Canis lupus familiaris: one gene and its partner. The main gene of each other region encodes a partner of the protein of the gene in region 2 in a complex. Links are inferred from orthologs where the notes say so. Each region holds a gene or a part of one and is shown on either strand. Other genes may lie near its edges.

Region 1 (3,516 bases), on a different chromosome or scaffold from region 2:
AATCCTGGAGTCCCGGAATCGAGTCTTGCGTCGGGCTCCCACCATGGAGCCTGCTCCTCCCTCTGCCTGTGTGTGTCTCTGCCTCTCTCTATCATAAATAAATAAATAAATCTTTAAAAAAATATAATAAAATAAAAATAAAAGACTAAGGAGAGAGTGTCTAGATGACTGCCTTCAGCTCAGGTCATGATCCTGGAGCTTTGGGATAGAGCCCCCATCAGGCTCCCTGCTCAGGGGGGAACCTGCTCCTCCCTCTCCCTGCTGCTCCTCCTGCTTGTTCTCTGTCAAATAAATAAATAAAATCTTAAAAAAAAAAAAAAAAGAATTAAATGACTAAAGAGATGTGTCACCTAATACACTGCGTGATCCTGGACTAGGTGCTACACAGAAAAAAATTTGCCATAAACCATATTTTGGGGATGATCAATCAAAATCAGAGTAAGGACTATAGAACAGTATAATGACATCAATATCAATGTCATTAACATCAATTTCCTGATGTTAATATTTGCCCTTGTTATATGTAAGGAGACATCCTTGCTGTTAGGAAATACACAATGAAATATTTAGGGATAAAGGGGCATCGTGTCTGCAATTTACCTCCAAATGGAAAACAGTGCACATGTTAACAGAATCTACATAAAGGGCTTACAGAAGTTCTTTGTACCATGCCCACAACATTTCTCTGAATTTGAAATTATTTCAAAATAAAAAAGTTATAAGCACTTTTCTTCTGTGTGAATCCCACCACCCTCCACTCCATCTTACCCATCTGGCACTGATACATATTTCGGGGACTCTGGTTGTGATCGGAGAAGGGGATGAAGTTGGCAATCACACTCAGCAGGCTGTGAGGGAAGAGCTCCTGGTGAGTGGTAACTCCAGCCAAAACCTCATCCTCAAAGATGGCAATGTTCATGAAGATCTGGAAGAGAGGAAGGGTGAGGAAGTTCAAGGCACAGAATAACTCACTGCTAACATATGAACTCATCCTCCCTCTGAGTTTAGGACTCAAAGATGTGAATGCAAACGTTCCCACTCCATATCATGAACACTGATGGGATCCACTGGGAAGCACGGAGAAGCTTCCAGGTCAGAAATACTGTTTGCCTGATGCATTTCATTCTAAATCTACCCTGGTCCAACTGTGAAGGACAGGAAGACAGACATTTTGAGGTAGCACAAAGCCCACAGTTTTGCAACTGCAAAGATGTAGGCAAATATTAAGTCTAATGGAATGTTCCCACCTCACCACCTGACTCAGAGTCAGGTGCAAAGGAGCTGGGCGGGATGAGAAGGCAGGTAATGTGACCACCAACTCTCTTTCTCGATATGTAAGCACAGTGAAGGAACATGTGAAAACTGCTTTGTTCTGGTAGGAGGCAGAAAGTAAATTCTGATTTTTTTCAAATGCCCAATTGTTATTAAAGAACAACAACACTTTCTTTATAAAAAGAAGTTTTCTGGTTTTTTTTTTTGTTGTTGTTGTTGTTTTGAGAGAGAGAAACAGGTGCTCATGCAAGCAGGCAGAGGGACAGAGGGAAAGAGAGAATGTGAAGCAGACTTCCTGCTGAGTGCAGAGCCCGACTTAGGGTTCGATCCCATGACCCTGAGATCATGACCTGAGCAGAAATCAAGAGTTGGACACTTAACTGACTGAGCCACCCAGGTACCCCGATAACACTTTTAAAAAAGAGTGGTTATTAAGTCTCCGAAAGTTGTGTACTGTAACAGGAGCATATACAGGCACCAATCACAATGTTCTACATACCTGTTCCATAGTTCCAATTAGTTCTTCTTTGCCTAATTCCAAGTTCTGCACAGGCCGTACCAATCTACAAGGAGTGGTAAACAGGAACAATCCTGGGTATAAACTTGGTTTTCCTGTCATAGGGATAAGGGCCACTTCCATCCAGGGAGGAATTCTTTTTTCTTTTAATACCTGTTTTCAACAGAGTTCAATTAAGAAGAAGTGATGTGTTTCAAATTTATCCTCCTGTCACCTAGGAGGTGGGTAGAATGGGAAAGGAGGCCAAATATAAAAAGCAGCATCAAGAAATTAAATTAGTGGGACACCTGGGTGGCTCAGTGGTTGATCATTTGCGTTCAGCTCAGACCGTGATCCCGGAGGTCCTGGAATCGAGTCCCATATCAGGCTCCTTGCATGGAGCCTGCTTTCCCTGTCTCTGCCTCTCTCGTGAATAAAAAAATAAAATCTTGGGATCCCTGGGTGGCGCAGCGGTTTGGCGCCTGCCTTTGGCCCAGGGCGCGATCCTGGAGACCCGGGATCAAATCCCACGTCGGGCTCTCCGGTGCATGGAGCCTGCTTCTCCCTCTGCCTATGTCTCTGCCTCTCTCTCTCCCTGTGACTATCATAAATAAATAAAAATGTTAAAAAAAATAAATAAATAAAATCTTAAAGAAAAAATTTAAATCAGTTATGCCAGTAATAACTTTGTGCCCTTCCAGTCTCATCACCACACAGAATGCTACTCACCTCATATCCAGAATTGGCCAAAGCCCTACTTTCTGGGGGGTGGGTGGTACCTCACTATGTGGCAAACTGGTAAAGGGGAGCCTAGAGGAAAGGTAAACCAAGAAGGTGCACGTGGATGCATAAGTAAAACTTTGTCCTCTGATGTCTAGAATGTAGTATATTACTGGTTTTATTTTAAACTGTACTCAATGAAAAGGCTCTTCTACCTGGAAATTAAAAAACAAAACAACAAAACTTCTACTAACCAACTCCAGGGTAAAATATAAACACACATTACAAAAATGTGAAAAAAAAATAACAAGACCTATATATCAGAACTTCTGGGGATTCACAGCTAAACAAGTCATCAACAAAAACAGATGGATTAAATTCTTAACATAAAAGCTAAAAAAAACCCAAACAAACAGAACACACATACGTAAAACCCCCACAAGTTAACAAAGATAAAACCTGAACTTAATGAGGTACAGTACCGAAAAAGGCTCAAAGCAACAAATCAAAATTCTTGGTACTTTAAAAAAAAAAACAAACCAACAAATCCCCCTTGTTTAACTTAGTCAAGAAAAAAAGGAGTGGGGGGGGGGCAGACAAATGTACTGAGTAAGAAATGACAACAGCAAAAAAACTACTGAAACTAAAATTTAAAATTATAAGTATACTCTGTACAACTCCAAGAAATCAAAATAAAATGGGTAAAATACAGGCTACCCAAACAGACCTCATTAGAAGTAGAAAACCTCTTAAACATGGTTATGATGGTAAATTCTGTTATGTAAATTTATTTATTTTTAAGATTTTATTTATTTATTCACGAGAGACACACAGAAAGAGGCAGAAATATAGGCAGAGGGAGAAGCAGGCTCCATGCGGGGAGCCCGATACAGAAACTCGATCCTAGGACCCCAGGATCATGACCTGAGCCAAAGGTAGACACTCAACCACTGAGCCACCCAGGGACCCCACCATTAGTATTTTCAAAACAAAAAAAGTTAAGATTTCTTAGATTTCTTAGACTAGGG
Region 2 (4,102 bases):
AGAATAAATAAATAAAATCTTAAAAAAAAACAAAACAATCAAGGGACTCAGGGAAGGCAGGGAGCGAGAGGGCTGGCAGGAAGAGGTCAAAGGAGAGGGAGCAGCTGTAGGAATGTCAGAAGAAGGGCGTATCCACCAGAGGGTGCAATGTGTGCAAAGGCCCTGGGGCTGCACTTTGCCTGCTGCGTTGGCTGCAGGAGGCCCCGGGGGAGGGGGGAGGGGAGGTCAGAGGCTGTCGTGGGGCAAGCCTGGGGCACACCTGGGAGGCCTCGTTGATTGCCTTGAAAAGCCGGGGTTTTCCTTTGCTGTTGCTGCATTTCAGCTGAGAGATGGGGGAGGGGGAGAGGAGGGAGAGGGCCACAGATGGGGGCTCACGTCGGCGCCTGCAGTTCTGAAGGTGGAGGGTTTGCAGTCGGACAGGATGGACAGGATGTGGAGAAGGGGCAGGACGGAGGAGCGGAGCTGCCGGCCCAGGGCGGACAGACTAGGGAGAAACGGGTGTAGACGGCAGATAAGAAAAAACGGGCTGGCGGAGGGGGTGCCTGGGGGGCTCCGTTGCTTAGGCTTTTTTTTTTAATTCTCGAGAGACAGAGACAGAGAGACAGAGAGAGAAAGAGAGAGAGAGAGAGGCAGAGACACAGGCAGAGGGAGAAGCAGGCTCCACGCAGGGAGCCCGACGTGGGACTCCAGGTCTCCAGGGTCACGCCCTGGGCTGCAGGCGGTGCTAAACCGCTGAGCCACCCGGGCTGCCTTTCTTTTTTTTTTTTTTTTTTTTAAGACTATTTACTCCTGAGAACCGCTGGGGGAGAGGCAGGCTCCTGCGGGACCCGATGCGGGACTCGAGCCCACGATGCGGGGATCACACCCCGAGCGGACGCTCAGCCACGGAGCCACCCGGGCGACCCGAGGCTGCTGCGCAGTAAGGCGGCGGCGACGCCCAGCAGCGGGATGCGTACCTGGTGGGGGGCCTGACAACATGCCCTGCGCCCCGGGGAGGCGAGCTGACCGCTGACCCCACCCTGGCCTCAGTTTCCCCGCCCACACCTCGCCTCCGCCCTTCCGGATTCCAAACTCCCCACCCACACGGGCATCGGGCGGAAACCACAACTCCCGACAGGCCCCGCGGCCGAAACCCCGCGACAACTGCCGAGGCGAGAGTGGGCGGTCCCGTTCGCTCGGCTCTGGCTCCGCCCACCGCCGCTCGCAGAAGGCCCGGGCTGCCCTCGGCGCTGCCGCCCGCGAAGGTCTCTGGAGTCCGGCGTTCGCTGTGGGCAGCCCCGCGCGGGGCTTGGCAGGGCTCGGCGCAGGCGCAGTCAGCGCGGGCCCCTGCCGCGGGCTCAGGCGCGCGGGTTGCGAGCGGCGGCCGCCATGGACGACGAGGAGGAGACGTACCGGCTGTGGAAGATCCGCAAGACCATCATGCAGGTGAGCCCGCGCGGTCAGGGCGGCGGCGGGCGCAGCTCGGAGCTTCCGGGCGCGCTCGGCGGGTGCGTCCCGGCCTCTGCGGCCCCTTCCTGTGCGGTCCCCACGCGCTCGGAGGCGCCGGGCCGCGGCCCTGTCCGTCCTTCTCCGCGGTGACGTCATCCGGCCGCGCCCCTCCCGCCCCGCCCTCTGAGCCCGGGGGTCACCCGGCTGGTGCTCCCTGCAGCTGTGCCACGACCGCGGCTACCTGGTGACGCAGGATGAGCTGGACCAGACGCTGGAAGAGTTCAAGGCCCAGTTTGGGGACAAGCCGAGCGAGGGGCGGCCCCGGCGCACGGACCTCACGGTGCTGGTGGCCCACAACGACGACCCCACCGACCAGATGTTTGTCTTCTTTCCAGGTGAGGGTCGCGTGGGTCCTGGGTGGCTGCGTGACCCCTAGGAGTCCGCAGCCCTCGTGCAGCCATCCAGGGACGGTGTCTACACCCGCCCTCCCGAGTGCCCAGCCTGCTGCGCACGGTGCCACGGGGTGCTGATGGGAGCCCTGGGTTCTGTTCCCCGCTGACTGTTCGTTCAGTGCAGCCGGATTGTCGCAGGCCTCCCGGGGGGCCCAGCCCCCTGCCCAGAAGCAAGGGCGTCGGAAACCTTTGCAGGAGGGACCCTCCTGGTGCTCGTGCAAACAGCGTCCCCGTGTGTGGGTCGGCCTGTGGCAGGGCCCTCCCTGGAGTGGGCCCGGGGCGCCCGTGTGCTCCAGTGGGCCACAGAATGGGACTGAGCGGCCGTGCTGGTCCACCTGGACCGCCGCGACTGGGCGCCGCAGACCGGGCGGCTTCAGCAGCAGCCTGACCTCTTCCGGGGCTGCAGGCAGGACGTCTGAGACCAGGGTGTGCACGGGGCTGGGTCCCCCTGAGGCCTCTCCCTGGCGTGCCGGTGGCCGTCTTCTCCATGAGTTCCCGAGGTCGTGCCTCTGTGTGTCTGTGCTGTTGTGTCTGACTGAGGTCCATCCTGACAACCTGGTGGAATCTCCTCTTTAAAGACCTCAGTTCCAAGTACGGTTGCACCCGAGGTCTCGGGGGTTAGGATTGTAACACGGGGATTCCGTGGGAAACAGCTCAGTCCCTGACGCTGCCCGTCAGGTGAGCAAGGGTCCGAGGGGAGTGCTGTGATGGGGCAGATGTGGTGCACCACACGCACCCGTCCTGGCAGCAGGCACCCAGTTGCTCACCTTCCACCAGGCTCAGAGGGTCCCGCAGGTCTTGGCCCCTGTACTGTGGTGAGCGTGAGGGTTCCCACCGTGGCTGTGCAGGGAGGGGGTTTGGTCCTTCAGGTCAGCTGCTTCATCTGGGGATTCCAGACATTGCACCACGTAGGTCCCCAGATTCAGCTTCCAGGGAGGGATCCACCAAGTGGGTAGATGCAGGGCACCCATCAGCTCCGTGGGGGCTGGGGGGGAGGACTGGCACCCTGGTGGGTTCCCTGGGGCCCTAGAAAGAGGGAGCTGGTCCAGAGAGGCACTGCTACACCTTGGCAAGGTCAAGCTGGAGCCCGCGCGCCTAGCAGGGTGGAAGTGAACGAGCAGGTGAGTGAGCAGGGCCCTTGGGGCAGGAGGGACTCTTGCAGTGTAGACCTCGTGTGTTCTGTCCCCAGAGGAGCCTAAAGTGGGAATCAAGACCATCAAGGTGTATTGCCAGCGGATGCAGGAGGAGAACATCACCCGGGCCCTCATTGTGGTACAGCAGGGCATGACTCCCTCCGCCAAGCAGGTGGGCACGCTGCTCGTGTTGGCCGCACGTCCTCATGGGCCCCAGGATCTGGGGATCTGAGAAGGAGCGGCTCTCCCGTGTGGGCAGAAGCCAGAGCAGGGAGGTGCCCTGCATGGGTGCCAGCATTCCTGTGGTTAACAGGTCCGAGGAGGGGCTGCTGTTTGGGACGGAGGGCCAGCTCTGTGCGCTCGTCCCTGCAGGGTTCTCTACGTCACACCAGCACAGGGACAACTGCAGGAGCATTTTGTTAGGTGTCACAGTTTGTGTCGGGTGGTCTCTTCCTCCCAGAGGAGCCTTACTGACCTGACACGTGGGAACCCCCTTTGGCTCCCACCTGCCCTCAGCCCCTGGGAGAGGTGGGGTGGCGGCGTCTTGGGCCTTGGCTGTGCGTGAGGGTCAGCCTCTCTTTCAGTCCCTGGTTGACATGGCCCCCAAGTACATCCTGGAGCAGTTTCTGCAGCAGGAGCTACTCATCAACATCACGGAGCACGAGGTGAGGGCCTTAGTGGGGGTCTGCGGGAGGGGAGGCTGGACGGCTGGTGAGGTGGCACCTGCCCGAGCACAGGGAGGGCCTGGGGACGCACCAGGTGCCGCTGCTCCCACTTTGTGGGGAGGAGGAAGCAGAGCCGGAGTCTCAGTGAGGCCCTGGGCACTTGCCAGGTGTGCAGTCAGGCAGCTGGGGGGCAGGGGGTGGGGTCTGTCCAGGGGCCCCTGCACTCTCCAGGTTATACCCCCCCAGGCGCCTGCAGGCCATAGCTCCTTCCCCCCAGGCGTGGAGTCAGGAGCAGGGTGGGGTGGCAGCTGGGACCCTTGGGTGGATGGTTGACTCCAAGGAAACAGCCTGTGGCGCTCTGCTCCCCTTTCCCGTGTGGGGGCGCCGTGGGGCCTGTCACACCCACAGACTCAGTTTCCCCTCT

Evidence for each region.
Region 1: POLR2E (region 2) and POLR1B share a complex: the UniProt entries of both Homo sapiens proteins name them as parts of the pol I pre-initiation complex. The link is inferred for Canis lupus familiaris from reciprocal best matches to the Homo sapiens genes POLR2E and POLR1B.

The regions. Positions count from the first base shown.
Region 1 is NC_049238.1:36,969,593-36,973,108, reverse strand, and holds part of POLR1B (DNA-directed RNA polymerase I subunit RPA2), read right to left. Parts: intron 1,943-3,516; coding exon 1,772-1,942; intron 926-1,771; coding exon 769-925; intron 1-768. UniProt on the Homo sapiens protein: Catalytic core component of RNA polymerase I (Pol I), a DNA-dependent RNA polymerase which synthesizes ribosomal RNA precursors using the four ribonucleoside triphosphates as substrates.
Region 2 is NC_049241.1:58,128,539-58,132,640, forward strand, and holds the start of POLR2E (DNA-directed RNA polymerases I, II, and III subunit RPABC1), read left to right. Parts: upstream 1-1,291; 5' UTR 1,292-1,368; coding exon 1,369-1,425; intron 1,426-1,648; coding exon 1,649-1,823; intron 1,824-3,069; coding exon 3,070-3,185; intron 3,186-3,597; coding exon 3,598-3,678; intron 3,679-4,102. UniProt on the Homo sapiens protein: DNA-dependent RNA polymerase catalyzes the transcription of DNA into RNA using the four ribonucleoside triphosphates as substrates.